Lepisosteus oculatus: one gene and its partners. The protein of the gene in region 3 interacts with the protein of the main gene of each other region in a pairwise test. Links are inferred from orthologs where the notes say so. Each region holds a gene or a part of one and is shown on either strand. Other genes may lie near its edges. The genes, in order: psmf1, bahd1, khdrbs3 and inpp5d.

Evidence for each region.
Region 1: the proteins of khdrbs3 (region 3) and psmf1 interact in a two-hybrid assay, tested with the Homo sapiens proteins (2 studies listed by BioGRID and IntAct). The link is inferred for Lepisosteus oculatus from reciprocal best matches to the Homo sapiens genes KHDRBS3 and PSMF1.
Region 2: the proteins of khdrbs3 (region 3) and bahd1 interact in binary tests that used the Homo sapiens proteins (3 or more experiments, as listed by UniProt). The two-hybrid records come from large-scale screens. The link is inferred for Lepisosteus oculatus from reciprocal best matches to the Homo sapiens genes KHDRBS3 and BAHD1.
Region 4: the proteins of khdrbs3 (region 3) and inpp5d interact in binary tests that used the Homo sapiens proteins (3 or more experiments, as listed by UniProt). The two-hybrid records come from large-scale screens. The link is inferred for Lepisosteus oculatus from reciprocal best matches to the Homo sapiens genes KHDRBS3 and INPP5D.

What each region holds. Positions count from the first base shown.
Region 1 is NC_090711.1:643,255-650,375, reverse strand, and holds the start of psmf1 (proteasome inhibitor PI31 subunit), read right to left. Parts: upstream 3,016-7,121; 5' UTR 2,907-3,015; coding exon 2,778-2,906; intron 2,423-2,777; coding exon 2,270-2,422; intron 1,788-2,269; coding exon 1,705-1,787; intron 1,021-1,704; coding exon 826-1,020; intron 1-825. UniProt on the Homo sapiens protein: Plays an important role in control of proteasome function. Inhibits the hydrolysis of protein and peptide substrates by the 20S proteasome. Also inhibits the activation of the proteasome by the proteasome regulatory proteins PA700 and PA28.
Region 2 is NC_090703.1:12,318,285-12,326,243, forward strand, and holds the start of bahd1 (bromo adjacent homology domain-containing 1 protein), read right to left. Parts: upstream 3,011-7,959; 5' UTR 2,782-3,010; coding exon 2,757-2,781; exon of another isoform or gene 2,400-2,756; intron 1-2,399.
Region 3 is NC_090705.1:35,523,916-35,530,923, forward strand, and holds the start of khdrbs3 (KH domain-containing, RNA-binding, signal transduction-associated protein 3), read right to left. Parts: upstream 3,011-7,008; 5' UTR 2,735-3,010; coding exon 2,644-2,734; intron 1-2,643. UniProt on the Homo sapiens protein: RNA-binding protein that plays a role in the regulation of alternative splicing and influences mRNA splice site selection and exon inclusion. Binds preferentially to the 5'-[AU]UAAA-3' motif in vitro.
Region 4 is NC_090708.1:10,189,964-10,197,563, reverse strand, and holds the start of inpp5d (phosphatidylinositol 3,4,5-trisphosphate 5-phosphatase 1), read right to left. Parts: upstream 3,006-7,600; 5' UTR 2,880-3,005; coding exon 2,740-2,879; intron 1-2,739. UniProt on the Homo sapiens protein: Phosphatidylinositol (PtdIns) phosphatase that specifically hydrolyzes the 5-phosphate of phosphatidylinositol-3,4,5-trisphosphate (PtdIns(3,4,5)P3) to produce PtdIns(3,4)P2, thereby negatively regulating the PI3K (phosphoinositide 3-kinase) pathways.

The DNA of each region.
Region 1 (7,121 bases), on a different chromosome or scaffold from region 3:
GGCACACACAGAGACACACTCACCCCTAAGGCCAATTTCCCCAGAAGCCAATTACCCTACAAGCATGTTTGTGGACTGTAGGAGTAAACTGGAGCATCCAAAGGAAATGCATGCAAACAAGACAATTGAATCCAGAGCCCTAGTACTGAGGCAGCAATGCTAAACACTGCACCAGTTGAAAATGTACTGAAAATTACTACTAGCCGGGAATTGCCCCAACACACTCAGTTCACATTCACTACATCATCAGAGCAGGCTATAAAAACTGATAATTGTTTTTTTTGGACTTCCATGTGCCATACAGGAAGATTACAAACAGTGGAATTTCAGGCTCCAAAAGAGCCTTAACGGAGATGAGGGTATGTCTCAGCCAAATAGCTTCTTCACTCCAGGAAAAAGTGTCTAAGAGCCGCTATCAGTAAAGGCTTCATCAATCAAACCATAGTCAGAGAAGCCCATTTTGTTTGTCTCAGCTCTGGCCAGAGAAGCTTGTAAACCACAGAGTGATTACAGGCTCCTAGTCACTCTGCCTCACTGCAGTATGCGTCAGCTCAACAGGCCTGCAGCCCTGCACAAGCAGTGTTACACAGAGCTCGACGAGCCCAGGAAGACTCAGTCACTCCCATGTGTAAAAGCACGAGTGCAAACAGGCTTGTGACTAAGGCAGGGAAATTGGATACTATACCGTTTGCTGTTTTCTCATCAGCACTATGGAATGGAGATCGAACCGTCATTTACAGTGCATGTTTTTTTGCAGTTTTGTACAGTTTAATAGCTCAGCCTTTCGGAGCAACGATTGTTGTAGCTCCCATCCTGTGGCCCTACCAGCTGGGCTGCCGGTCAGAACGAGGAATTCTCTGGGGGATCCGGAGGGGGTCTCTGTCGGGCCACAAGCATGGAGGACTCTCCCTCAGGCCCTTCTTCTCTGCCTTCTCACTGGGCTTAGTCTTCTGTTTGGAGGCTGAAGGAAACAGCCCTGATTGCACCTTCTTCCTCAGCTCTTCAGTGTTCTTGAACACGCTGTCAAGACAGGCAGTACATCACAACCAACACCACATCAGCCCATCACCTGCTGACACAGCTCCTACGCTCCTTGCTGAAGAAGACTAAACATTTCTACAAATGTACTACAAAGGGACTAGAAACACTCACACCATCTTAACAATGAACACTTTCCTGGATTGGCAACTTGTTTTGTACTCACCACACTTTGCTGCTGAGACCAGATTTATCAGGACACTTTGTGCAATTCTCCAAAATAGATAAATGCACCAAAGACCAGCTGCATGTTAATATCAACATTCTTGCAACAGGCAATTCACAATCATAGAAAAACATATTTCTATTTGTAGCACAAATTAATAAAACCATGAAAAATACCATGCTGGAAAAATACCAAAAAGTTAATGTTTAAAGTCCTGAATAAAATTGTTATTGATATTGGATTTGCTACAATTTTGTCATTTAATGTGTCTTGAGTGCAGGGATAAAAACAACTTCTGCTTGATTCTTGCTGCGAAATGAAGTGATTTTGATTTCTTAAAACGAGTTGCCAATCCTTTCATAGCCCAACTCTGAGTCATTAGATGGCAGAGATAAGAGTGTCTGACAGGCAATAAAGAATCTCACTTAACACACAGAGTTCAGTCCTGCATGACTCTGCCCTTTTAGCACAACACGACAGCCTAGAGACGTTTGACCCACCTCTCGAATACCTGGAGACTGTCTGCATGCACATAATCACCAAGGCTCACTGTCAGATCAGACACACGTCCTGAAGCTGACTCCTGACACAACAAAGACAGAACAGAAAAAAAAAACCATAATACTCTCCGAAACAAAGCTTCTCAATCCTTTCCTTTCAATCAATTTCCTTTCACTTGGATTTTATTCCATTTGTCTCCACAATATAATGGAACCCTGGGATTAATTATTTTATTAATTAGAACTTCCCAAATTAAATAAGATAGAAAACTGTTTTCCAGTGGTCTACAAATAAGAACCCATTTCAGCAAAAACAACTAGAGCACTCATTTCTGTCAGCTTGAGATTCGTTATGGAATCAAGTCTCAGGTCAGCTCATACCTGCTTGCGTGAAATCCTGTAGCTGCACACATTACTCAGTGCAAGAGTACGGTAACGAGTTACAGACAAAAGCCTTCACTACTCCTCAAGAAGAAAAACACACAGAAGGATCAGCAAAGTTGAAGTAGCCGTGGTCAGTCAGCGAGTGAAGATACGCTGCAGTAACGCAGCGAGCCGCACGTACCAGGACGTTGAAGATGAGCGTGGTGTCCACGGTCACGGCCTTGACCAGCAGCTGCTCGCCGCTGTCGCCCGACTGGTACCTCAGTGTGTACAGCTCGCTGCTGCTGTTCCACCCCGCCGGCAGGAGCTCCGACTGCCGGTCGCTGCTACTCGGCTGCAACGGTCACACACCCATCACTACCCCACAAGTACGACAGGTATCAGACGGGCATGACGCACTTCGGAAGAGTGCCAGTTCTGTCTGCCAGACAACACCGCGCTATTACCAGTATTATATTTTCCACTCTTGTGTTTTTCTTGAATGGCGTCTACCGCAGAAGATGTGATCTGGAGAGCACATCAAATACCACCGCTTTTAAACATTTTCTAACCACATTTTGATACCCTCCCCACAATAGCAGCTGACAACAGTTACACCCCTAGACGCGTACAGCCTGCACTGTGCTCCATCCCTGAATGCGCATTGCTAATTCAGCCAGGTAAAAGTGAACAGGTACCTCCATACATACCTGGTCTCCGACGCCCAGGCATTTGTACCCGTTTTTCACTATCTCCCAGTGCACAAAACAAACCAGGGCATCCTGGGGACAGGCGATGCTGCTGACGACAGAATTATACAAGAGCTCCAAACCTGCCATCTTCAACGAACGTATGCACCGACACAACGCTGAACCGAAACACAAAAGCGAAACTGCCAGGCATCTGTTTTGCAGTCCATCGCGACTGTGTCCCACTGCGTTGAAACTCCGAGATGGAAACACTTCCTGTGTTCATTTTAGTTCCGCCCGGCAAATGTGGCATATTCAGTTTCTTTCAAAAACGCTTCCCGTGTGACTCGCAATATTTTTCCGAGGAAATTGCCAAACTTACCCGTAATAAATGAAATATAGCTAAAACAGACGTTATCCTGCTTGTACGTGCTATTTAAAATTTAATTGTTAATACATTCATTCTACCTGTGAACGCGCTATATTTTGTTTTCTCTTGTTCCTTGTTCAAAACATTTATTCTCTTTTTAAGTGATTTCAGATTAAATTTAAATTATATAAAAAATAATTTTCTCTCTTAATGACTCGTCATTTTTGCATGCAATACAGAGCAGAAACCACAGAGGGCAGTGTTCGCTCATGCAACGTTGACCTGCAGCGTTGAGCGTTGAAGTCGTGGTTCTGGAAAATGAGACCATATGTAATGCACGCTAAAGTGGTTTTATTTATATTTAAATATTAAGAAATACTGAATTTGTATAATTATAACGTATTGAACTTGGATATAATGAAGTCTCTATCAGTTTTGAAATTATTAAATTGTAGGATTTTTAATATGAATGCTTTTAAACCAATATTCATGACCACCATTAAAGCCGATGTCCTGCCTGAATTCCACCCTGTATCAGTGCGAACCAGCCCCACTTTTCACGCTTAAATCACCCGGAGAAACAGCTCCTCCCCCATCTCCTGACCTGCGGAGTTTTTGCCCGGGTGAGAACCGCACTTCCCCGGGTCCCGCCCCACCCGTGAATCGCTGTGGGGTCCTCCGGGATGAACAGTGAAACACGAACCAGAGGACGCAAGTGGGCATTATGTGAAAGCGCATTTAAACCCGAGAACCGGAGTCACTTCCTTACACGAACGCTTGTGGTGGTCTGGAACGAGCTATCCAGGCATGCTGTTGTTGTAGCTGATATTCCTTCATGAAAAAACATGGAATAGGATAACTACACCAGTTAGCTGCTGAGAAATAACAAATTAGATAAACAAGCTGAATGGTCTTCTTGCATTAGAAACGGTTCTAATGTTCTTCTCCTGCTATAGGATTTGTGGCGCCACATGGCTCATTGTCTCCCTCTGGTGGGTGGTTTTAGAAACGGTCAACAATGGAGTCTGCATGTCCGCGTGTGTCTCCTACCACCATCTACGGGCATGCAGGCTGGGCTGATTGGGGTCTATACATTTTTCAAAAATAATATTCTTTCCCCAATTTTAAAAAAACCTGGAGTATTTAAAATCCCTGATTTTTTAATATCTGGTAACATGGACTCTATAAATAATAAGGATGCTTTTTAGTGACTGGACATGTGATAGCTCAAGTAGGCAGCTGCATCAGCATGTGTAGGCTGCAAAGGAACAAGTAAAGGTTTATTATTAGGTCTTCTTTGGGACACACCCAAAGAAGGCTCTACAGCCGAAAGGTTGTGTTTCTTTTCTTCTCTTTACAGTATGGAATAAACCTTCACTTGTTCAGAAGTGATATGTGTATTCTTTGAAATAAATTAGCATTGACCCTTGCTTGAGGCCCTTTATTACACAGGCATGCTGTGACGGTGATTTAGTAAGACCAGAGTCTTGTATAACCAGTGGATACACTGGGGAGCTTGTAAGACACACAGGTTTTGTATTTCTAACCACATACTAATAAAGAAGACCCTGGGCATTCAGTATCATTAATGAAGCATTGAAGGTGCTGTTTATTATCACTATTTTTAGGACATCAGAGAACAACAGTGACACAGGGGCCCAGTGGAGTGCCAAAAAAGGGTTTAATTACATAAACAGGGATAATCAACACTATTAATGCAGGAGCTTTAGCAATGACATGAATGTCTGTGGGCTCTAGCAGTAACAGTGGTGCAAAGGTATCCACCACTGAAACAAGGTCAGTGCGCAGGGCTCCAGGAGCAGTGTCTCCTGCGGAGGGTGGGAGTGTGCATGTGTGCAAGAGGCCTGAGCTCCAGAGACCAGGCCATGACAACATGCACAATTCACGTACAACCCCCAAGCAGACAATAAGCATGTTACGTAAGTAACTGCAAAGTTACATTTCTCTGCAGTATAATCCTACGAAAGCTGAAAAAAAATCATTAAAGAATGTGGTTTCTAATTTCATCACAGGCTTTGCAAACTTTCTGAAATCTCATGGAATGATAATAGCAACATCTGTTTCCTCTTTCTGGGATATCTAAAACACATTTCACAGAAGTTCATTTACACAGCATATTCCCATCAACTTTGTCTTCTTTGTTTGCACAATTAATTAACAATATATGGTCTTACTAGATCACTTGCATGACTCTGCCAGCCCCCGTGTGCTTCTGGACATGAGGACAGGCAGGTCCTCCTTGACGTGTGGAAGGAGCTCTGTCTGGGAGACGGGTCCGGAGCTGAAGGAGGCCTGGCCTCCGGGATCCTGCCCCAGCGGAGCAGCCCTGGGGAGGGCGAGGTGACCTGGCACCAGCCCATCACGCCTTCCAGCCGTGTCAGAGCCTGGCTGCCGCCCAACTTCCTCTGCAACCGCAGCTGTGAAACATTGGCCATGTCCAGAAACCATGTGGATCCTCCACTGGCGTGCGGAGGACCTCCACATTTTGCTTTAGTCTGTAGGAGTCCTTTACCTCCTGCACACCTCTGACCACAGGAGCACGAGGCCAGGCAGCCTGGCACCAGGTTCACAGGTGCTGCGCGCATCATTGGAGCTGCAGCCCAGGACACACACAGTGCAGTACCATTAAAACTCTCCTGATGTTAAACATGTGTTCTGGCTAAACACAGTGATTCTGTGTTGTATATAATGGCACCAATGAGTGCCTGCTGAGTCACCTGATAGCGGCTTCATCGTGAGAATGGGAGACCCATCTAGCTCATTTGGTTGCTATTACCTCATTGCTCAGGTCATCCCATGATGAAAGCGAGGGTGTCAGCTTGTTCCAGACCCCTGAGACTCTTTGTGTAAAGTGCCTCCTGGTTTAGGTTCTAGAAGCACTTGCCTAAGTTGCCCCTGTGTGCTCTGCTTGGTGCTTCACTGTTGTCCAGGAGGATTTTGAATACTGAAATCTTTCACTGTGAGGATTTTGAATACTTAAATCTGGTCACTTTTTTTCTTTTTGAAATTAAAATATTTACTTCTTTTACCTTTTTGCTCCTTTGAGCCTGGGAACATACCTGCTCGATCTTCTCTGGCCTGATTTCAGAGTAGCATCATCGTTGTTGTAAAGTGGTGACCACAGTCGAGCCCAGTCTTCTACTGTACATGATGACTTACCAATTAAAGAGAGCCTTAAATCACACTGCAGGAGGGAGAGACAGTCCAGGACATGGTTTTAGCTTGCTTTTTAGTTAGAGTCGGGCTTAAAATAAACCAGGCACTTAAGGCAGGACAGAAACAGGTTGAGTTAATAGGTATGAAGTCAGCCTTTCTCATGCCCTTGTGCAGTTAAAGCTGCAAATTTTTTTCAGGCAGTGAGCAGCTGGCGGAGGATCCCCGGCTCCCCGAAACCTGACCTGCTGGGCCTTCTGCTCTTCTCAGGCAGTGTCCATTTTCACCTACTTCCTCTGTGCCTCTGGACACTGGAGCACGACGGGTGACAGCAGACGGCGGCCTGCCACAGTAAAATGAGCAGTCCTGAAACAGAAGTGAGGCGCAGGCGGCACAAAGCCAACCCCACTGACACCTCCACCCCTACACAGCACAGCCAGCGCTTCGCTCGCCAGCCGGAGAGCCGAGGGAAAAGAAATGCCAGGAGTCGGACTATGACCATGCCTGAACTGCTGTTCCAGAGCCCTCACGCGGAAGAGAAAAAGAAAGTGAAATAAAAGGTTTCCCCCCCGAACATTTTTGTCCCTGCGAACCCGGTAATGAAAACACATGTGCGAATCGTTAAGGGTTTAGAATGTAATGTAATATGTAAATAAAGTAATTCTATATTTAGGACGGCACTTTTTTTGGGGATTTTACTGATGTGAATCCAGCTGTTATCTAGTGGTTCAATAACAAACATTATGTCGGATCTTGAAACTATTTGTTTTTTGTAAACAGTACAGTAGCGCTAATCTTCACAAGGCCTTCTCTTCACTGAC
Region 2 (7,959 bases), on a different chromosome or scaffold from region 3:
TTTTATAAGATTTTTTGATCTACTGAACCATGAAAGAATTCAGTAAAAAAAAAAAGTCCATATAGTTAGAGTGTAAAAAAACTACAAATTTCTGTGTCTGTCAGCAGCAAAGATCAAAGTAATTTGATTGACAGTAACAAGGCATGTTTATGCTGATTTGGTACATGTCTATTATTGCTTTTCACATCTTATGGCAAAAAACAAACTTGTGACAGATATCTGCCGTTCGTTGAAAGCATGTTAAAAAAGGAAATAAAGTATTTTGGAACCTCAGCATTAATTGTTCAGTGAGAATATAGGTTCACAACATAAATGGCTCAAAGTTTAGATATTTGTTATCATTCCATTAACTGTTAATTTTTTTCAGGATGCCAAGATATTAAACCCTCTTCATACACTTCCACAAATCATTCATCAGAACAGGACGATAATGGTCTCCAGATATTTAACTGTAACCTCTATGAGAAATTAGGCTGGATTCTAGTGTATCTCTTCTGATAACACTTTAATAAGCTGTGTCCCTGTCCACATTTGTGAGAGAATATCTCATGGTCAGTGCAAATATCATGAACTACTCAGTATCTTTCAACACCACAAAAATACTGTGATAACATAATTCAGGAGAAACAAAACCCACACAGCACAAAACACATTACAAAGCCAAGCAGATGTGCAGTAGCAGAACACTTTTTCACAAAACAGTTGCAGGTGAAACAAGGAAATATAATTGTAAAAGTAGTAGCAGCTATTCTACAACACATGTTAACACGTCTCGCCTCAAAGACCACTGAACCATTAAAACTCTTTAATATGCCTTAGGCAACACAGCAAAGACGCAGCCAAAGGTTATCTACAGGTTAACAGAGCTGCTGGGGGCTTCCGTGAGAATGAAGAGGTGTACCGTAGTTGTGCAGATAAGAGCAAATATACAGTACCATAGGTTTCTGAGGGTTTGCGAATTATCATACTTAGACACGAAGAGAAATTAAAACGCAACAAATGTCCATTGTATTGGAACCAATAGCATTTGTCGCGCTTTTAAAGTTTCCAAGTACGTTTTCTGCGAAGGTGTGAAGAACTACATTTGGTCTCCTCCCCAGTTCATGACAGACTAGCTGAAGTGCTCCTGCATGTGGTGACACGCGACTCGCCCATCATTTACCTATCACAACTGTAAACCGCGGTTTGAACAGAGAACGGAGAATTGCAACCAAATGATCACCTGAGAAACTAAACAATCAAACGACACCGACCGCATTCGGCGTATACAAAACCATGGAACCAGCTTACCGCAGTTAAAATGTAAATGTATGCTTATTACGTTCATTATAACCCTAGATTTGGAAAAAGTGGTATGAAAGAGTTCTGAACAAACGCAAAAATGAAATCGCCGTCCATCATCTCAATGAATAATTGCGTTCGCGCGTTCAAGCAACGATAACTTCGACTATTCAAATTTCATACTTTTTGTAGGACTAACACGTGCCGTTTTAAAGAGAAAATATTTTTTTTGTTTCCGAGCAACTCACCGTAGAATAAACATATTGCAGAAGATCAGAATAAACATAGATTAAAACTCTGCTCTTGAATCTCCATAGTTTTGCGAATAAAACAGAGTTATACGCAGAAATGCTCTGATCATATTGCAATCTACGGTACTTAAAGAGCAGTCATTCCTTCCTTAATCTGACGTACAGTATTTCGCTTCTAGGAAAAGCATGTGTCTGTAACTGTTTAGTCTCGGCCTTCCTTCTCAGCAGGTGTCGATAATAAGTAACGAAGGTTAAAGTCATAAACATATGGGAGAAAGATTAAACGGGGGGATGGGAAAAGGTTTTGTCCAGTCGTGTTTGCATTTCGGGGATGAGCGATAATGTACATGCATTCAAACTAAGATGACCATGAAAAACAGAAGCAGAAGCGGTTCTGCTGGGCGGATCGTAGAAAACCAATTCTTTATTTCCAGAACCCTACGAGGCGCGTATCACCCAGGACCTAGAATGATGTAAATGCCATTCAAACATACAGTCGGTTCGAAACCAGACAGCTGACCGTATCGAAAATACATCAATTACTGCAAATGCAATTATGTGGATTACTCTGGTGAATAATGTACTTTTTGTGGTGCTGAAGTCGAGCTAAAATGATGAAGACCAGCAACACTTTCTCAGTATCTACTGTACAGTATATTGGACTGTACTGGTTGAACTCGCTTTAGATTCTAATAAATTCTAAAGGTTACACAATAAAACATGCATAAAAAATTTAAAGGCACATCGACTCCCATTCTATCAAATGCTATTCTGAAATATATGCTATTGCCTCCAGAGTACATATCAACGTGGATCAAAATATTTAAATACAAATAAAAGAACAAAAAATATGGGTTATATTTTTACCTGTTAAAACATCACGAAGTTTCGGCGGGGATGTGAAAAGATGGCTCTGCTCCCCTCTTCCAACAGATTAGCTATGGTATTTCTTTGCTTCGTAACGTGAAGCAAAAAAATCTCACAATTGACAAGACGTATAAAACGGTGACCTACTTCCGAAGTAGCATGCTTCAAGATAATATTCATGCGCTGCATTCGCGAAACCTGCTGTTGCAGCCTGGCATTTTAAGGCTCATCTTTTAAATTAAAATACATTAACTTTGGTTGCTTCTAGATACCAGCATCACATGCAGCTAACGGTTAAGGTCTGGTATGAAGATGTAGCACAATTAAGTTGTCGCTTTCACAGTCAGCTGCTAGTACCTTCGGAAAAAAAAACGTTTTGCATTCCCCCTTGATCGTCGGAATTTTCCTTGCTGAGTAAAATGCGATGCTCGTCGTTACAGTATCCAATCCACCGATATCATCGTGCTTCCTTTGCTAAAAGTTACCGCGTCCCTCCCATCGGAAAACCTCGAAAGAGAGTCAAAATGACAGATTTTATATGGATTTTAATCTGAAAGTTCCGTGCAGCCAAAAGTGCAAAACGAAGCTCGATTCCTTCTTCCTGATTAGGGCTCCAATCGGAGAAGCTCTGATTTTAATAAAACTTCATCTCGGCCAATTGGGCCGCACACGCACAGCGTCTGACATCCCTACCCGCCAATCACAACGTGACATTTTACTTTTTCTCTCTTCTTTAATACAAGTTATTTTAGAATCCACCCTCCATCGCTCGGCTTCTTCTTCGGCTCTGGTCTCTCTTTTCTGTGTTCCTTAAAGCGCCCGCACGGCGGAGAAACCTCAATGGTGCAAGATCCATCATCATCTTCATCAACCTCATAATCTTCATCATAATCGGATCACCTCACAGCTTAAAAGGAAACAAGGGTAGCTGCAACAAGGCCATATTAGTTGGTTTCACCGTTAAATTGACATTATTTGACCACTAATCTACTTGTATTTTAGGGATCAATACCCCCAAATTAAAATACAAGCAATGAATGAAATGCTTGAAATGAACATCTTGTGGCTCACTCGTTTAAATACTGAGGTTGAAACCTTAACGCTTTTAGTTGGTATTAAAGATCTTTTTCTTTTATAATGGTTAAGAGCCACATTACACCCTTTGCAGTCCCTTGTGTTTCAACAATCTAAAACGATCGATCAATGGTTTATTTTTCGTAGTTCGGTGAATTAAATGAAGACAAATGCACAGGTGCACTTCTTTCCTCTTAAAAGCGGCCGTGCTCAAATCCTCAGTACTCTCATTCAGGTGCTGTCAAAATCTTTGTTAATTACTCCGCCTGCACAAATTTACCTCCTAGAACAAGATGACATGACATATTTCTAATTAGCCGTACAATACCCACATCAACCTAAAAGCTGTTAGTCTAGTAAAGCATTAAGCATTAAAACTGTAAAGAGTTTTATGCATTTCGTTTAACTGGCTGGAGAATACACTCCTTGTACACATTTTACCCGTCTCAAAAATGTAACTGCAGTAACAACGACCTTAAATAAGTAACTCCTGGGTTTCACACATGCTTGAGAACAAAGGAATTCTGTCACAATTTGCGTGATCAAGCGAATGATTTAGCATGCAGTAAAGTAAAAAAAAAAACACCACGATTCAAACAAAATGCCACACTTCCCTTGTGTTAACGTGCAGTTCATAGAAACTGGATGTTATCCTTGTGTTAAGAAAAAGTTTTTTCATTCTTTATTGTCAACATAGAAAAATAAAAAAAAAACGTTTTTTCGCCAATTATAAGATTTGTTTAAAGGACATCAAAGAGCAAATTCCTGGTCAAAACTAGCAACAGATCCGCAGATTAAACGACCTGCAGGTTTCCGTGAGTTAAGCCTACACTGACGGGAAGGGCGTGGTGCCTGAATCATCAGAATTTACAGGATGAATCAAAGCTGATTTATTCCACGTTTCACGATTTTGACTCTTCAACTAAGGGAAAACCCAGCCGGACCCCAATGCGTCCCCTAAAATGATTTGATCGTTTGAAGTTTTGAAAATCCTGTATTTGCCTGTGATGTCGGTTTATTTTGATTTTAATCCACCCAACAAATCGGAATCATATTCGTCTTCATCTTAATGAAATTCATGAAATTCATGTGCGGATTTTGTCACCCAGTACTGATCCCGACATCCAGGCTATTTGTTTTAAGGAGCTGGTAGTCAGACAGAATGAAGGTAACACACAAGGCCCAAATTACAAAGAATGGGAATTATACAACACATGGAAAATTGAAAATCTTATATTTGTATAAATACAAAAATACAACAATTCTGCATTTGGTGTGGTTTTAACTGTTTACAATAAAAGGGATACAGTCTAGAAACACGTTTGTCGTGAAGTAACAACGTGATTAATAAATTAATTGTAACTGAACAAGATCGCAATCGTTTTCCAACGTTCCGACAACTGCATACAGAACTACATCTTGGGCATCTTGGCCGTATCTACTTGCAGCCATATAACTTGAAAACCGATTTCAGCTTCCTCAGGTTATGTGTGTAAGAATACCCTATTTTAAAAATAAACTGCAATCTCTGATATCAATTTGACATAAAAAGGTTAAGTACAGACTATAAGGTTTACTGACAAGCAGAATATCCAGAGGGTCTATGACTCACGGCAGGTGTTTTGCCCCACTTGTTACTGTAATGCATGCTCAAAAAGACAATATATTTACGGGTATTATTGTAAACCTGTGCCTGAAATTGTCGGAATCCTTAAGTCAAATGCTGGGAAAAGTGCTGAGCGAATTTCACTGTCTTGGTCTCCGACTCATTTAGTAGAATCCTATAATTTACAATCGAGCTATTATCTCGCCAAAATTATAACTTCCACAAAGCAACACGACAAGATACTGCATATCAATGGTACCAGTGTTCCCATGCGTAGATCACCAAGGGGCAGGAACAAGCCGACCAGAACTAAGGATTTGATCGCATACAGAAAACTGAACTGCGTTTTTCTATTGAGAAAGGCAAAGAAAAGTTTGATGACTAGTGCTGAAAAATTGTTTCATTAACAGATCTGAAATGGCAGCGTTCGTGGTTATTAATTTCCTGCGACTTCACTCCTTGGTTTAGCATTGTCTTAAATCGTGCGTATTTTTGCGATCAATAGCGCAGCTGATCTCATGAGCGGAGCAAACCCAGAACACAAAGAAAATAGCGGACGTCGGGGGAAATAAAACCAAAAACAGAATTCGATGAAAAACTAACAGTCGGTTTTACAAACCTAAACTATATTCACACATTTCACCAAATTTAATCATTTTAAAAATGCCAGGGCTTAGATTAATTCTATAATAGAACGCCGCAAATCCAGCTAAAAAGCAATTGACGTTTTACCCTTCGCGAATATTACAGTCCCAGCGAGGCACAAGTACAGTAAATTAATATTAAAAGGCCTACTACACTACACTGGCATTTCATAATGTGTTTAAACCCATAGGTAAGAAATAATGCCAAAATTAACATGTACAGACATTCTCATTACAAGGCCGTGGACAAAAAATAGTAAACTGTCACCAAAAACTATTGTCTCAATTTTGCAGATAAGCTCAATTGCTCAATATTTAATTGCAACGTAATACACAAATACAGTCTTTTACAGTTGTGAAATCATGCTTTGGCTTTACAAAACATGAAAAAATACATAAACGTTTTGTGAAAGGTGCAGTTTGCTTAGATTTGTAGCATTTAAACAACCTCCACCTTATAAATGATTAATCTTTATGATTGGACTGTATTTTAATAGGCTCTTACTACTTTCATCTATCTTGCTAATGATACTGATGGGAAGAAAAGTAGCTAAAACTGTGCTGGTCCTTTACAGCATGAAGCTGAATGTGTTCCTTTAGTTACCATGTTACAAAAATGCTGACGCTCTGAAATCAGTCCAAATAAGAGAAAAGAGAGACCAGGTGCATTCATGTTCTGAAAGGAATGTTCTCCTCCTTACAATCTGAACAAATTGAATCTGCTCAGTCTTGAACAGAGAAAACTGTGAGGGAACCTAATTCAAGTACTCAAAATCCTTAAGGGCGCTAACAATATCAACCCACTGGACTTCTTCAGCAGAACAACTCGGAGGGCTCACATGGAAACTATGAGGAAAATAAGTTTGGAACTGAGTTCAGGGAAGCGCCTTTTACACACAAAGGCTTTTGATGGGTCCGGAGCAAGCTACCTAATCATGTTGTTGAAGTTTAGATTATTACTTCTTTTTTAAAAAAAGGACTCACTAGATCTCTGGATCAATGCACTTCCAGTAACCACTGATCTACACTTGCCAAAAACGTCCCTCTTCTCATTTGTAACCTACAGTATCTTTATCTTCAACTATTTCTTACACTCTATCGCTATGATATCATTGTGATGTAGTGATAGTGGCTCCATGAGTTGACTCCATCTTGGCTCAAATCGTGGGCGATGGAGTGGCCCTGCGCCAAGCTGGCAGCTGAGGGACTGGGAGGTGCTGCAGAATTCGACACACCTGGGCTGAATTAGTGTGGAGAATGCTGACTGGGAGGGACAGGGACAGAAAGAGAGTAGTTGGAAGGCTGGGAGAGGCAGTAGAGAGAGCCTTATGCTGGCTCTGGAACAAGAGAGAACCAGTTCCTGCTCATCTCCTCCCACCCTCCAGCTTAACTCCTTTCCCTGTGGACCCACCAGCAGGAGGGCGTTACAGACAAGGGTCAAAGCGCCGGCTGAACGCTGGATTCCATCTGATTACATCAATTCCCAGCCAGCAGCAATAGTCAGTGCACCTACTGACTAAGGAGAGCATCAGTGGATGTATATAAGAAGTACTGAATTCAACAGGAGGAGAACAAAGCTGGTAGGATAGACTCTCCATGGAATCAGTAATGCCTCTGAGTGTAATCGAGGGGGCTGTAAGAGAGCAGTCGGCTGGGAGGAATTCAGGCTGAGCCTAGACTCCCAACAGGACAAGAAAGTCCAACAGCTTGCTGCTGTGCCATACTTGGTGGCTGTTACAAGAAGCAGAGAAAGGAAGACCTGGAACAAGGAGTCTGCTCAGTCTTCCCCAAAAGGGAACCGGCTTCAGAGGCAGAATCCTGGAAGAGGTCCAAGCACAGTAACTGTAATGCCAGCCCACTAAGACACCAGACAGTCATGTGACACAGCTTGAAGAAAGGCTGCAACGGGCCTAGAATGGCCACAGAAAAGGAAAGTTGCCCTTGATTGAGAGGCAGACAGTGTCAGACCAGAAGGAAGACAAGCTCTGGTCGGAAGGAGGAGGTGCGCGCTGACCTGTCAGTAAGCCTGCGACTTAGCCGCGGTTTGAAAGGGTTTCAGTTTGTGTTACAGCAGGACCCACCACTGACCTGCAGTGAAGGGGTTAGGCTTTTGATCACCTGCTGCAACAGTGCCAAGTGATCAAGATTACCCAGAGCCTGCAGAGGTCAGATTGCTAACAGCAAACTGAAGGGCTGTAGGGATCAGCCCAGTTTGCAGTGTCATACACTACCAGTA
Region 3 (7,008 bases):
GTAAGGAATGTGAAATCCAGAAAAATGCAGATCTTAGGAATTTAATTTTCCAGATAAGAAACAAAGTATAGAATTCTTTTGAGATGATGACCATGCATGGTGCCAATACACAGAATGCACTATATTGTGTAGTATTTTCTGCAACATAGTAGTTTGAATGTACATGTGATGTACTTGCTAATTGTTAGAGGGTATATGTAATAGTTATAGATATACAGTAGAGATGGAGGGCTTGCAATAAAACATTAAAAATAAACATATCTTAGTACTTTATGTACATTATACATGTAAAGTTTTATCTCAGTTTTATCTAAATTATGTTTGCGTGATTTCACTTTTTTAATTAGTGGTATTTTAAGACTATACATATTTTGACTACATTTAATACTTACCTCTGATGACAAAAAAGTGATGAATCCTGATAGATTTATAGTAATAATATGTACTCACATACAGTATCACAGCTTTGGGATATATGTTATAATTATATATCACACATAGTTTGTGTTCTACACTACAATGTTTTTATTAACTGGTGTTTTTAAACAAAAACAAGTATGTCAGATAAAGAATACTTTTGTTTATATATTCATTATTTAAACTGAACTCAGGTTTAAGTCTAAATTGAAAAGCATGTACTGTACTTACAATATCTTAGAGTAAACTGAATGCAATAGGTCTTCTGAAAAACCAGCATTTTACCACTTGTCTGTATCAGTGATACAAAAATGAAAATAAAAAAATGTCTGTGTTGGAAGGTACTTGTCAATGTTTTGTGTGCCTGAATCAAGTGAATCTTTCTTTTGAATACAATGACATATAATTCAAAATCTACTTTCTGAGTAAGTATGATACAGTACTGTACATAGAGAGAGCAACATTATGAACTTGAATATGAATCATGAGAAGGGTGATCTGAAGTCGATTGTTTGACATGTCTAAAGGAACCTAACTTTGTCCTGGCAATTGTAATTAACAAACATATCCTGTTCATGCTCCGAATATAAACATACTGTATGTTATATCTGTTTTCTTGCTAGTTGGTCATCTGTCCACATGGTGCTCGTGGCAAGCTGTTAATTACTGAAATCAATACAAATGTCAGACACTGTATAGCTTAGCATATCCAGAATACAAGCCAAAGCCAGTCACTTAAATCTGAGAAGACAATTCACTTACACTTATTGCACAGTGAACAAGTTGCTAATGTTTTTTCTTACTTAAGTGCAGGAATTTAGAAAGTCTTAACAGCTTTAGGCATGTTATGGTACACTACCTGGCACTATGTAAGTAAAGGGCATATTTTACTCTTATCTCTAATGATAAGTGAATAATATCAAAAAAAAAAACATGCCGTCACAACATGAATCATTATGACTAGATATTATTACAGTATGAGAAGTAGTTCTTTATGACTTGGCAAAGTGGTTTTATTCTAATGTTTTGTTTGTGAAAGTTCTATTGTTCAGGCATAAATATTAGTAAACAAATGTAACTCCTCTTTTTCAGTGATACCACTGCTTTCTAGGACAAAATACTCTGATGATAATATTATTGACATCAATTTTGTTTGAAAAGTAACAAGAAAAACAGAGCTCATTATTGTTGTTGAAACTTAATGATGATAATGTAATAAATTATATTCAATAATACTGGAGATGTGGTGAATGTCAGACGTTGGCCAAAATGTATTAGTATTAGTTAAATCTTAGTAAGATTTGGGTTCTTCACCTTGTGATGAGAGATTAATTTAAAACTGTAAAATGTTCTGGTTTGGGGGATATGGGACGCTTTAAAATATGTTGTTGGTAAGAAATATGCCCGCACCATTATCGTTTTATTGGGTTTATTGTTAAATAAACGAAATACAAAAGGTGATTGCCTATTAACAAGAGTGCTGTAACATACTCCAGTCAGCGCTTCCTCGTCACAACAAGCAAAGTAAATGATACAGTATTTATGATACTGTCTGCATTCGGCACATTTAGTTATGTCTCCCAAAAAGAGACAAGCTGAGATGTGATGGAAGTAAGGAATGCTGAACCATGAAATATTCAGGTATCCAACAATAAGCGTGGAGGCAAACTGTATTTAAAATGCAATATCTCGAAATTAATAGTATCTGCATACATTCTTACCTTGCAGTATCAACGAAACACATTGTATGTCTTCGTTTATAAGACCTGGCTATTTCAAAACTGCTGTAATTTAACTGCACTTGATTATAAGCAATAGTAATAGTATACTGTAGTAGTAATAATGTTTTTAATATTCCAGTTTACTCGATCTCTAAACCAGCCAAATGTTTACCGGTGTTGTTATACTGTACCTCATTTCTTTCTGCCATATGTGAAAAGTCACGTTTTGAGAAATGCACGGAACTTGAGATGCTGCTGGAGGTAAACAACATACTGTGGCTATACAAGCCTAAGTGCTTTCAAGGACAGAGATAACAGAAAGAGCGCTTAGGGTTGTTGTCCATCCCTGACTGAAAAACTTGAATAGCTGTCCGCGTAAGCACTCGACTGTTGCCTTAAATGTTATCACACTTCTCATACTAACCACTACTGCTAAGCAGAAGACATCCGAACCGTGCCAAATACCGTGACAGGTAAACTAATACTTATTCTCTCGGTTATTTACCTTGATTTAAAAGCCGCAGAGAATGTTGAAAAGAAGGGTCGAGGGAGTCCTTTTCTGCCATCAGCTCCGGCAAATACTTCTCGCTATCCATTCCTTCTTTCCCTTCGGTCCACAAACGGATCAGTTGAACACAGGTCTTGAAAGAAAAATCAAAAGTAGTATTCCTCTTTAGCTCAGTTTCCCCACGGAAAAAAAAAATAATTAAAAAGCAAAAGAGCAAAAAAATAACTTTATTATTATTCAATACAAAAATTACAACATAGCAGTGTTCTCTGTGTTTAACGAGAGTGGTAATTGTACACGGGCAGTTCTGCTCAAGTACAGTCCCGTTATCCCATCGACAGCGAGCACACTTTGAATACAGCCTTCCCAACCTCTAGATACCACTGTAAACAGGCTTTGTACAGTAGCTCCTCCCGTTATTTCCACAACCAGCGCAAGGACATCCCAACACCAGCCTCGATTGGCTGCCGTTTGAGCGGACCTACATTTGTTCTTGTAATTTAAATGCCAATCAAGACACAGGCGGGGAGTGAGAAAAAAAAATATTGATTTAAACTGGCAGAGAGAGCCAAAGGAGTTGTCCATGGTCCTGCACTGGACTTCAAGAGGGCGCTTGAAGTCCGGTTCAACAGATTTGGACGCCCCTTTTTAAATTTTAAACTCATGTACATCGGAGAAAGTGTTGAACAGATAATATGCAGGTGAGATATCACCTCAACCATGTTTTTCTATTCACTTTTGTAGATGCACAATTTTCTGCATTTACATTGCTTTGCATTAAGTATAATGTACTGTATACAGTGTATACTGTATATAATGTGTTGAGATATCTATAAGTATAAAATTAATAAAAGGCTACATAATCCAGATTCAGTCAGTCTTATCATTCATAGTCGGTTTCTATGGCACAATATGTGAGGTGGCTTGGACAGAAAATCAGATTTATTTTTTCTGCATTTTTTGTTACTGTATAAATAATACCCTGAAACCTTTGAGCCCCAATGTAAGAATGTGTTTTGCTGTGCCAGAGAACAAGACAGACATTCAAAATTACTTGGGAACCCAGTACATGTGGAGTCCTATGAATGAGATTACAATGTTTATTTTCATGGTAAACAAATCTAAAAGGATTCTAGCCTTTTTTGTTGAATACATATCATATACTTAAATTCAATACAGGAAATCAGCATGTTATGGTATTATCATTCTCCTTCTGATTTTTTTAAGGCACATGTGTCAGACAAATTACTACAGGGGTAGCTGGGTTGTTGCAGCCAAGCATTCATACTGTACAAACATTGCTTTTTAATCATTCAACGTCAGCTCTTGCTGTCATTGTGAAGCAGAATTCACCAAACCTAGGATTGTTCACCCACTAACAGGGAACATGACCAGGGCTTAGACTGTCACGAGAAGGGATAGTTTTGCAATACTGATGATGTGTTCTTGAAATAGTAGTCCTGCTTGGTACTGTATGAGAGGGACCACAGGTTCTGGTACATGTGCTTGGCACTGGCTGAGGAGCCAGTGCTGTGAAACTGTGATTATAACTGAATGCCTCTAAGCCAGAATCCTCCTTAAAAGGTCTCTTGTAAGCTTTAAAATCCCCCTAAACCTCAGGGGTAGACTTTTGGCCGAGTGGTCTTGAATTTTGTTTGAGGTCTGAGTGGCTAGGGTACTCCAAGGTATGTATGTGACATCAGAACGAATCTGGGGTCCAACTGATAAGCTTATTATTTTTTTTTATCAGTTAAATTTCTTTCCAAGTGGCATTTTAAGCTTTACTCCTTATCTTTCAAAATATTATGAACTGTTGTAAAGCTAAAATGGAAGCAATACAAATTAATCCTCTTTAGATTTGGGTTGCTGTGACTCAGTATGTAGCCATTTAGCCTGTGGGATAGGATGAGCTGGTATCAAATGCTGTCTTGAGAACATGTGTAAATGCACTTATCAAAACAGATGTCCTTGTATGTTATATGAGAATATTCGGAGAGAAAATGAAATCCTACCAGGGTATATTGAGGCAATTCTCAGAAAAAATACATAATGGACGTATTGTCAAAATGTACTTATGAGTTGGATGTTTATCAGGAAAATGAAATAAATAAGATTTAAAGGAAATACTGCAAAATGGTACAAAACATACAGTATAATATAAAAGATGATAAAACAAGAAATTAAAAAAAACATTTTATTTTCACTATGTACCTTATGCCGTATATCTTCAGCATTGTATATTTTCTTCCGATACTTTACAATCTGAAAATGATAACAGTCCAGATTACATTCAACACATTTACCAACACAAAACATTCTTTCCTCTGGATTTAAAAGAAGGCTCAGGCTTTCTTTGGATATAATTGAGATGAACATCAATACTATAGTATGCTGTACTATACATTATGTATCAAGTTGATACTATGCTGTTTTTTAAATAATGATTCTAAAATAAACACATACAGTACTAAAATGTTGCATTTTGTTTCACTTTGAAGTGCTCCTTCTGAAGAAGAAAAATATTGATCCTGGTAATGTTTTCTATGTCCTTAAAAATACTTACTGTATGTTGAGATATACTGTAATAATAAGTAGCCTGTAGCATATCCTAGGTATGGATGACTGACCTGCTACTTTATCCTAGGTCAGTAAAAATGATTAATGTATTACCTTTCATCAGTACAGAAATAGTGAAATTATGTATGCTCTTTATATATTTCTAATACAAGTGCAGTATGTCATATTAGAAATGTGCTATTACTCAACAAGCTGTATTTCAATAATAAACTTGTAACACATGATTCTGAGCAATATCTGTTCAGAACTGCTCCTGGCAGTTGTTTTTATTTTTATCCCATATTTCCGAGCAGTGTATTTAAAGGGGCTGCCTGAAAACTTACGGCTTCTGTCGTTATCTTTTTTGCAGAGCAAACAGGACCTGTATACCCAATAGCCCAAGGGTTTTGTTGACATGAAGAATTAAACAAAGTATCAGTTGGTTGTAGGTTTGATTCTTTTTTGCATATTGTCGAAAAGCTGAAAAAGGATTTTGGAAGAGACAGATGTAGCAGTCATAGAAGACAAAGAATGATTTATATGAGCTGGTCATTAAATAGCTATGTGATCTCTTGAGATATGAGATATGGAAACAAAATGCTGACTCTTTTAGACTTTTTTGTTGGATTTTGTTTCCATTTAAATATTAAGCCATATCAGAAGCCTGGTTTGTACAACAACATCTTTTCCTTTGTGTGTAAGAAACCCCAATAACCTCCAAACCCTTTTAAATTTAGGTGTATTTTGAACAGTGTGAATGTGAAAAACAAGTCACTTTCAGTTACTTCTAAAGTACTAAACTGAACTTATCATTTTTTAGAAATATATATCCTGAAATATCATAAAGTATTCGACATCTTCATTCTAAACTAAAACAGAGACTGTAAGACATCAACTCAACTCTAGTTGAAAATGCCAAGTATCGTAGAAGACATTGTAAGTGTAAAAGCTAGCAAACAGTTAAATATGAAGGAATTACAATTGATTGAAACTTATTGTACATAACAATATCTTCCTAAGCACATTGAAATGATGTCTTGAATGAAAAATGACACATACTATAGGAACATCCTGCAGGACATTTTGCACTGAATTGCTTATGGGTAAGGTCAAAGTTGACTTATGACTGCAGGTTTTTGCAACCAAAGGGTCATCCTGATTTGATGTCAGAATAAAGTACTATCATCATTAATAGGTTTCCAAACTATGATGTTTGGCCAATAGGGACATCTGTTCTTTTCAAATTTGTACTTTTGAACTTTAGGGGGAAAATACCAGTCATAATAAAAATGATAGAATCTCAAAAGTAGTAGCAATATCTTTTACACAAAAAGCATTTTTTTCATCACCTCCCAGCCAATACAGAACCAATCAAAATTCATAGAAAGTAATAGTAGTTGAATGGTCAGGTTATTTTTTAATTAAATTAATATCAGGGTAGGCAAGGTATTACATGTTTCTGAGCTGAATATTAACGTTTCTGTGAACTGATCTGATGTGGGCAGACATTTACACAAGTTTAGTTTTTGCATAACCATACTGTATGTATTAAAGTCTTTAGAGTATTACAGTCATATACGGCACATGTCTTACTTACCCTAAATCTATCAAGTCTAATATGATGTATTGTATACAGTATGCTGTAATCATGTATATCTGGGCATGATTGGAAACACTTCCATGTAATGTATTTTAAAACAATTGATAAATAATATTTTCGTTAAAAACAACATTAATTGGATGTTGGGGTGTTTGGAATAATCACAAAAATAAACAAACTGTTCTGTTGTCAAGTTTCAAAATAAG
Region 4 (7,600 bases), on a different chromosome or scaffold from region 3:
AAATGCTGCTGAGGAATCAGTTCAAAAAGAGAAAAAATATTTATTTTTAATTTAAAGGACAGAGTTAAAGAACTTGACTTTGTTCTCTCTAACAGAAAAAGGAGAACTGATTCGAATATGCTCTAAATATTGTACTCAAAGGCATTGACGAAGTGAATGCTTACAGTATGCAGGTTAAGAATTAATAGCGAAAAACGAGACAGAGGACGTTGTGGAAACTCTGGGGAAGTGCTTATAAAACTGAGAATGAGAGACACGTTTATACAGAAAGTGTTGTGGGAGTCTGGAACAAGCTTCCCAGCCACGTTATTGATTATAATCTGACTTATTTGAAGAAATGCCTGGATGTTATCCTTGAACCAATTAGACCCTGGGTACCAAATAACCTTGTTGAGATAAATGACCTTCTTTCATTTTTAACCTTTCTTATATTTTTACGTGTGTGTGTCAGAGAGATAAAGAGAAAGGTCATGCATGGATAATTGTGCATACAATATGTGGGTTCAGGTCAGATTGGTTGTTCAGATCTTGATATGTAATATTGTTCAACAAGCTCAAGTAACGCATTACAATTTTACAAACCTGTGTTAAAAATTCAACATCAGGTTAAAGATGGAGCATGAGATGGAACAAAATTGTATATCTATATGAAATATGAAAGCCTACAGCGATAAAATCAGAAGTTGTGACATAGAGATATACAACTGAAAAACCAATGCACAAAATGGAGCTCACATAAGAATCTTCATCAGGTAGATACACACAGTGTACCACTTGGAGCCAACAGACATGAGGAAGTACAGTATACCTCCACTTTATTTCTTGTGTCTTTGTGGGTACATCCCATCCATTCATTTTCTAACCACTTCTTCCACCTTAGAGATGTGGGGGAACCACAGCAAGCAGGGTACACCCTGGATAGGACACCAGTCCAAGGTTCATACAGTACATAAACATCTAAATCCTTTAAAGTACTGAGGTTTTAGTGAAACAACCTGCAGTACACTGAGACCACTGGACCAAGCTGCAAGAATGATTCTCTTTCTGAAGTCCAGAAATAAACCTTAGTAAGGGACAGCAGAGAGAGAACCTCATCTTCACATTCATTTTATGGGTGAAAAACTGAAGTGACACGTCCATGGCACTTTGAGCTAGGTCTCATTACTTTAGATGGCAATTACTCCTGATCAAGAGAAGTGAATGGGGAGAAGCCGCTGATCAGCAGAAGCTTTTGACTGCCTAATGCCATAGGCTGCAGTACAGTATAATAGAATTGTTGGAACTTTAGTTAAAAGAAGAATGATGCATTCTTGAATTTACTGAATAAGAAAATTGAAATGCGTTTGGGACTGAATGTCCTACATTATATACTATGGTCAAGGTTTTAAGCATTAATATTCTGTTCTGTGGTCTTGGTTTGCAAGAGCCAACGTGCTCTATACTCTGATCAAGGCTTCAGAAGCAGATGACCTACGTAATATATAATGATCAGAAATTTTGAAACAACTTGTAGTATCCAGCTGAAGCAAAGTAACTGTAACTAGTACCCAATGTCACTAAATCACAAATGATTTTGAAAAAATACAGAAAACAACCAGAAATTAAATTTTGATTGACACTGTTTGCCAGTTAAATTGTTGTAGCTTTTTATAAAAAGCTGAAAAACACGTTTCTGATTGTGTCATCACAAATGGAAGAAGCCTCCACATCTGAAATGTGTTATTCTTCTCTTTACCTTTCAGCAACCTTTACCTGGTCCTTTGTAGCCTACACATGCTGATGCAGATCCCTATGCCAACAACAGATAATGCCACTCTGGATCAATTTGCAACCTCTAACTATAAAAAAATGTCTATAGAAATTTTTAATTAAGCAACACATTACACAACAATTTTAGTGTTACATGAAAACCAGTCATTTAATCAATATGTTTGATGTTTTACAAGAGCTAAAACCAACTGACAAGATGTGCACTTTTAAACACTGTTAGAACGTTATCTGAAGAGAAAAAAATGCAAAACTGATGGTCAAATGACCAGCTACAAACTGATGTCATATTCATAACCTTTTAGAAATAAAAATATAAACCATCTTGGGTGCATTTTGCATCTTATATTGGTATATTTTCTGCGCTGTACTTCCCAATGTGCATATAAGGGAATCTAGTATTATTGCAAAGAAAAAGAAAAATTGGAGCCGAGGAATTCAGGCGATCCTGAATTCCTCGGATTATCAAACTAATGTGATTCTGTAACTGCAGCTGAGGCTGCAGTGAAAGCAATGAAAACAAAAGATTCCAGGAAGATCCAATGGCTTTAATTAAAGATATTAGTGCCAAATACAAAGGGGGTCTAGATATGCTTGCTATATCTAGTCCCGCGTACAATGTAAACTAATAACAGGTGAATCTTAATTTTTCTCTAGTCATGTTTACAAGGTTGTGGTCTCTTTGAACAAGGTTGAAGTCAATGATGCAGGAAACACTCTCACAATATTGTGTCAGTAACAGTTTCTTTAAGCTCTCTGCCCAGTTCAAATGGATGCCAAGGTCGACCCGGGGGTTATCACTAATTCTGTAAACATAAAAGGCACTAGATTGTATGGGTGCCAAGGGAGGGGTCGGTCTTTACTAATCATAGGCACTCACCCTTGCTCTTATCACCTGGGGGGTTGTATAAATTCACTATTACAATAAGAAACTGCAAAGAACTTGATAGACTTTAAAAAAGAACTACTTACAGTACGCAGAGGGCGTATGCTCCTGGAATAGATTCGCTGTCTCGGAGTAGAAAGCTACCATCCTTTGCTGCTTTGGAAAGCAAGTCCTCAGCTTTGGAGCGGGTAATATTACCATGGTACCAAGGCTGAAAGGTTGCCATTCCAGCCTCTGACTTTTTTCTGATGGTTTGGTTGAGTTTCTATTTTGTATTTTGAAGTTGGTTACAAAATACGCAGAAGAACGTCTGGGTGAATTCAGACCAGCTAGCTGGTTGAATTCATTTTGGTCTCTCTCTCTTCTCTCTTCCTGTTCAAGAGGCGAAAGCTGTTAGAGGAGGAAGCAGCCACAAACACAATTTTGAACTTCCTCATTCTCAGTTCAGAGCGAGAAGCAGCAAAAGAGCTGCAAAGCTTCACATCTTTCTTGTTCACACAAGTGTGAGCATACAGTTAGGTGGTAAAATACCTGGTAAAAACAAACTGCTATCACTATCAGGACAATAACAGGCCTTATTTCACATAATACCAATTCATACACAGGATGTGCAACAGAAAAATAGATGCAAACCAATTGTTTGTTGAATTATTTTGTAGAAATCTAAGAGTGTAACAACTCTTACATGAAACATTACTGACTTGTCTCTGCCATGATGGAAACTGATGGTTTAATATCCTCCAGGCCAGCTCTTGCATGAAAAGGAAGCCATGTGCCCCATGTGTTAATATGTCTGAAGCACCATCTCAAAGCACCTGTGCCATGCTTGTTTATTAGTGAAACAGTACATTTCAAGACCTCCCTTGTCTCAGAGCATGAAGATGATTCAATTATTTATTTTAGACAAACTATAATTTTTATAAATAATGGTTCATAATAAGGTAATAAAATAACATTCAAAATGTTCCTTTGGTTATGTAATTGTTCATTTGTTTTGTTTCAATCTACACTTCCTTCTGCAGCAAACATGGGGTCTTATGGTGAGTCACCCATATTTTTCAGCACCGGGCATGCATTACTTTCAATAATGAGTGTCTTGCTTTGCGACAATCAGAACCAGTAATCCAGAGAGGCTGTTAACTTTTTGGCTTCCCATTTGCAAGTAAAAACGACATATTGTACCTGCTGGTAAGGATTTTCACAATTAGGAACCTCTCCTGGAAATGTACCTGTAGGTTACAAGTGGGACAAGACCTCGAGCAAGAGACACCAGTCCATCGTCGGGCACGCATACACATGAACAGTTGAGAGGCACCCATGAACCACACACAGCTCTGCAAGATAAGAGGAAACAAGATCACCTAGAGGAAACCTTTGCAAGCCTAAAATAAACACCCAACCAAAAATCCTATGAGTGAGGCAACAGCACTAATTTCTATGTCACTCTGCCAACCTTATATAATATGTCATGTCCTGTTACTTTTATTTTTCTAATTCTGATTATATTGTTACTCTATGTGTGTCCTTAGAGTTCCAGCAATCAGCAGGGTCTTAGTAACCCTATCAAAGTTCGAGAGGAGGAAATAGCAAGGGGGCATATATTTATGCCACTGTACCTCTCTCCTTCTATGGACTTTATAGGTTTTTAAGATCCTATTTGTTTGCCCAATACACTTTCATAAAATGAATTTTAAGATGACTTAAAGTGGATGTGACTTTCAGAAAGAGCTGTTAATAAAGGCAAATAATGAACAGAAATAGCATCAGAAAATTAAAAATAACACTTAGATAAATATAAAACATGCATGTCATAAAAAGGGAAATTTCAATGCTAAAACCTTATACAATGTTCTTGCATTAGTGCAGAACCACAGAAGGCCTGTGACCCATCATTGTTCGTCACCTTCAGTTGTGTTTGAAGAGTAGCAGGAAGAGGACTGTGCACACACGTCATAGCCTTGAGAAATGTATCTAGAAAAAAGTAGAAAATGTGCAATGAAATATTCACCAGGAATAGATTGTGAGAGTTTCATAAACCCTTGCAAAAAATCTCAGAAGGTATGTATTTGCACTCTCAGCTGAATGTACATTTACTGCAAAGAAAGCAGATGGGTTAAACATCACAAAAACACAAACCAAAAAACAATACATCTGTCTGATGTTTCAAAGCCACAGTGACACCTTCTTAGGAGGTGACAAGAGATGCTGTGCAGAAGTCTTGTGTTCCGGTTTACGGAACTCTAATTAGAAACAACTGACAGAGTCAATGAAAACTCTATTGTGACTTTGTCCTTAGGCCTAGCCCAAATCAGAAAAGAATCAGCTAACAATACGAAATTATAAACCCGTGCTTGAGGATTTTTATTTGCAAGGGAGCTATTCCTTCTCAGCAATGGAAACCTGGCATCAGGGTTTGGAATTTGAGATGGGTGGTGATGGAGGAAGGTTAAAGGTTTGACAGTGGCTTAAAAATACATTTTTAATCAAGTTTGCCTCTAACTTGTGAAAGTGAGCTCTAATACTAATGTGTAATATGAACATGACTTTTATGGAGTTACGTAACTCTGTCCTGTTACTAAACTGTCCAAACAGAATCTAAAATTGCAGGAAGGATCTTTGTTAGATATAAACACTGCACATTCAGACTTCTGTAATACACTAAATAGCACTGGTGCAGATGCAGGATACCTAATACCTGTATATTTACACCCACTCACACAAGTAGCAGCTAAAGTAACTGAGAATATCAAGACGCTTGGATTGTTCAATGTATCATTTTCACATTTAGCTAGATTCTCTGGTGTATTCTTAGACAGGATCCCCCCCTCTCTACAGCCCACAGCTCTGAGGAGAACATAAGAGGATGCCCTGCATTTTCAGAAAGTGCTATGGACAGGAAGTGTTGCACAAACCCAATCTGCTGACATACCACACTTTGAGTCACATGACTCAAGAAAGTCCAAGTCTCATACACACATCTAAGTCAGGGGATTTCCACCCTCCACTGCCTCTCAGTGTTGTGTCCCAGCTAATATGCCACTGCACAGACTGAAGACACAGCATTTTGTAACAAGTATCAGCAATGCAAATAGTTCCCTCCCGACTGCTCAGTTTACTCAACTGCATTCATTTCAGTTGATTATGCATTACAGATATGAATCATGCTGTTTGTAAAATGTGACCTTCCAAAATGAAACTTGAAGACTGAATGTTGGAAAATAAAAAAATAAGTGAATGAATCGAACAATGCAGAACAACAGTATATTGTGCACAGCAATTCTGTCTAGATATCAGGAAGTAGACTGTCAATCTGCTGTCCCGATCGCATACACAGCAAAATCACGTGCACAAATAACCGGGAATGTAACATAAATTTACCAAGAATTTGTGGTGTCTGGATATTACATATTTTAAGTTTCTATGTTCTTTTTTCTCCAAAAATGTATTCATCATGAAAACAAACATTCCATAAAATTGGCATCTGCCAAGATTTGTCAAGGCCAAGTGCAGGAATTTGCACAACAGAAACATTTTAGTGATACTGTAAGCTGGGGGAAGATGCAAAGTGGAAATTAAGTGATAAGGATATTTATGAGCATTCTCAGCGATTGGACAAACTTCAAGCTTCTACTTAACAAAGGTGATTTCTTCATGAATTTGTAGTCAGAGTCTTGTATGTATTTAACCTAAACACAACAACAGGTTGTGATCGCACAATAATGTGTGCAGCAAGCATGAAATGAGTTAGTGTTCATTAAATAACTGGCTCCTTTAAGCTTTGTGTAATTCAAGAAATTAAGAAAATACCTAATATAAGGATTATTTAAGATCCATTTATAAAATCAAAGAGATAAATATTACCTTCAAGTTTTTCCCAGCAGTCCTCCATATTCTTTGGGTCTTCTTTCTGGAATACAGAATGTCCCATTTGTGTGATACAAAAGATTTTGTGCAAATCTGTTAAATAAATGCAAGAAATCACACATAAAGCAGATAACTATGATTATCTATGGTTAATGGATTTTTGAGAAAAAAAAAGTATGTAATACCTAAGGTGTTAGGAGTACATGACTCATTAATTTGTTTAGGGAGTGGAAACGCTTTCTTTAAAGGTGAAATAATAATAATTCATAATAACTGCTTACACTTATATAGCGCTTTTCTGAACACTCCACTCAAAGCACTTTACAGGTAATGGGGACTCCCCTCCACCACCACCAGTGTGCAGCATCCACCTGGATGATGCGACGGCAGCCATAGTGCGCCAGAACCCTCACCACACATCAGTGGGGAAGAGAAATAAACCTCCTGGGTAAGAATTTTGATTTGTTTTTGCATTATGTTATTTTTAATTTGATTCAGCATTGCTGTATTGCAGGATTTTTGATTATTTTCCTTTCAAACGTGTAAATACATGCACTTGCACAAACAACAAGCCCAATAACAATTCAATTATTCCAGTTTAAGGTCAACTTTCTTACCTACCATTTGGTTTGTCAGTCTGCTACTTCCTGTGTGCAATCTCTCTTCTCAGTATCTGCTATCACGTCTCAATTTCTGCTAGTCACTTGCTCCTGCTTTTTACTTGCCTTGTTCTGAGCTGGAACCAGATCCCTAGAAATATCAGGACTGCAACATGTTTGATCACCTACTGGTGCCTACTCAAGACTTTATTCTTCATACTGCATTATATATCAATGTCATTGCTCTGCTTTTCATTGTATTGTTTTATGTAATGCAAACTTTATTTTTAATGTTTAGTATTTTAATATAATGTACATATTTTTTCTATGGTTGTTGTATCATGTAATAGTATTCACTAGTTAATGTAAGTATTAACTATTTGTTATGTATGCTTACACATTGATATTCTCACAAAAATGTTTTAATACATTATATCATAAAGTAGAAAAAAGGTATGTTTAGCTACAGTCTTGCAAAAGTATT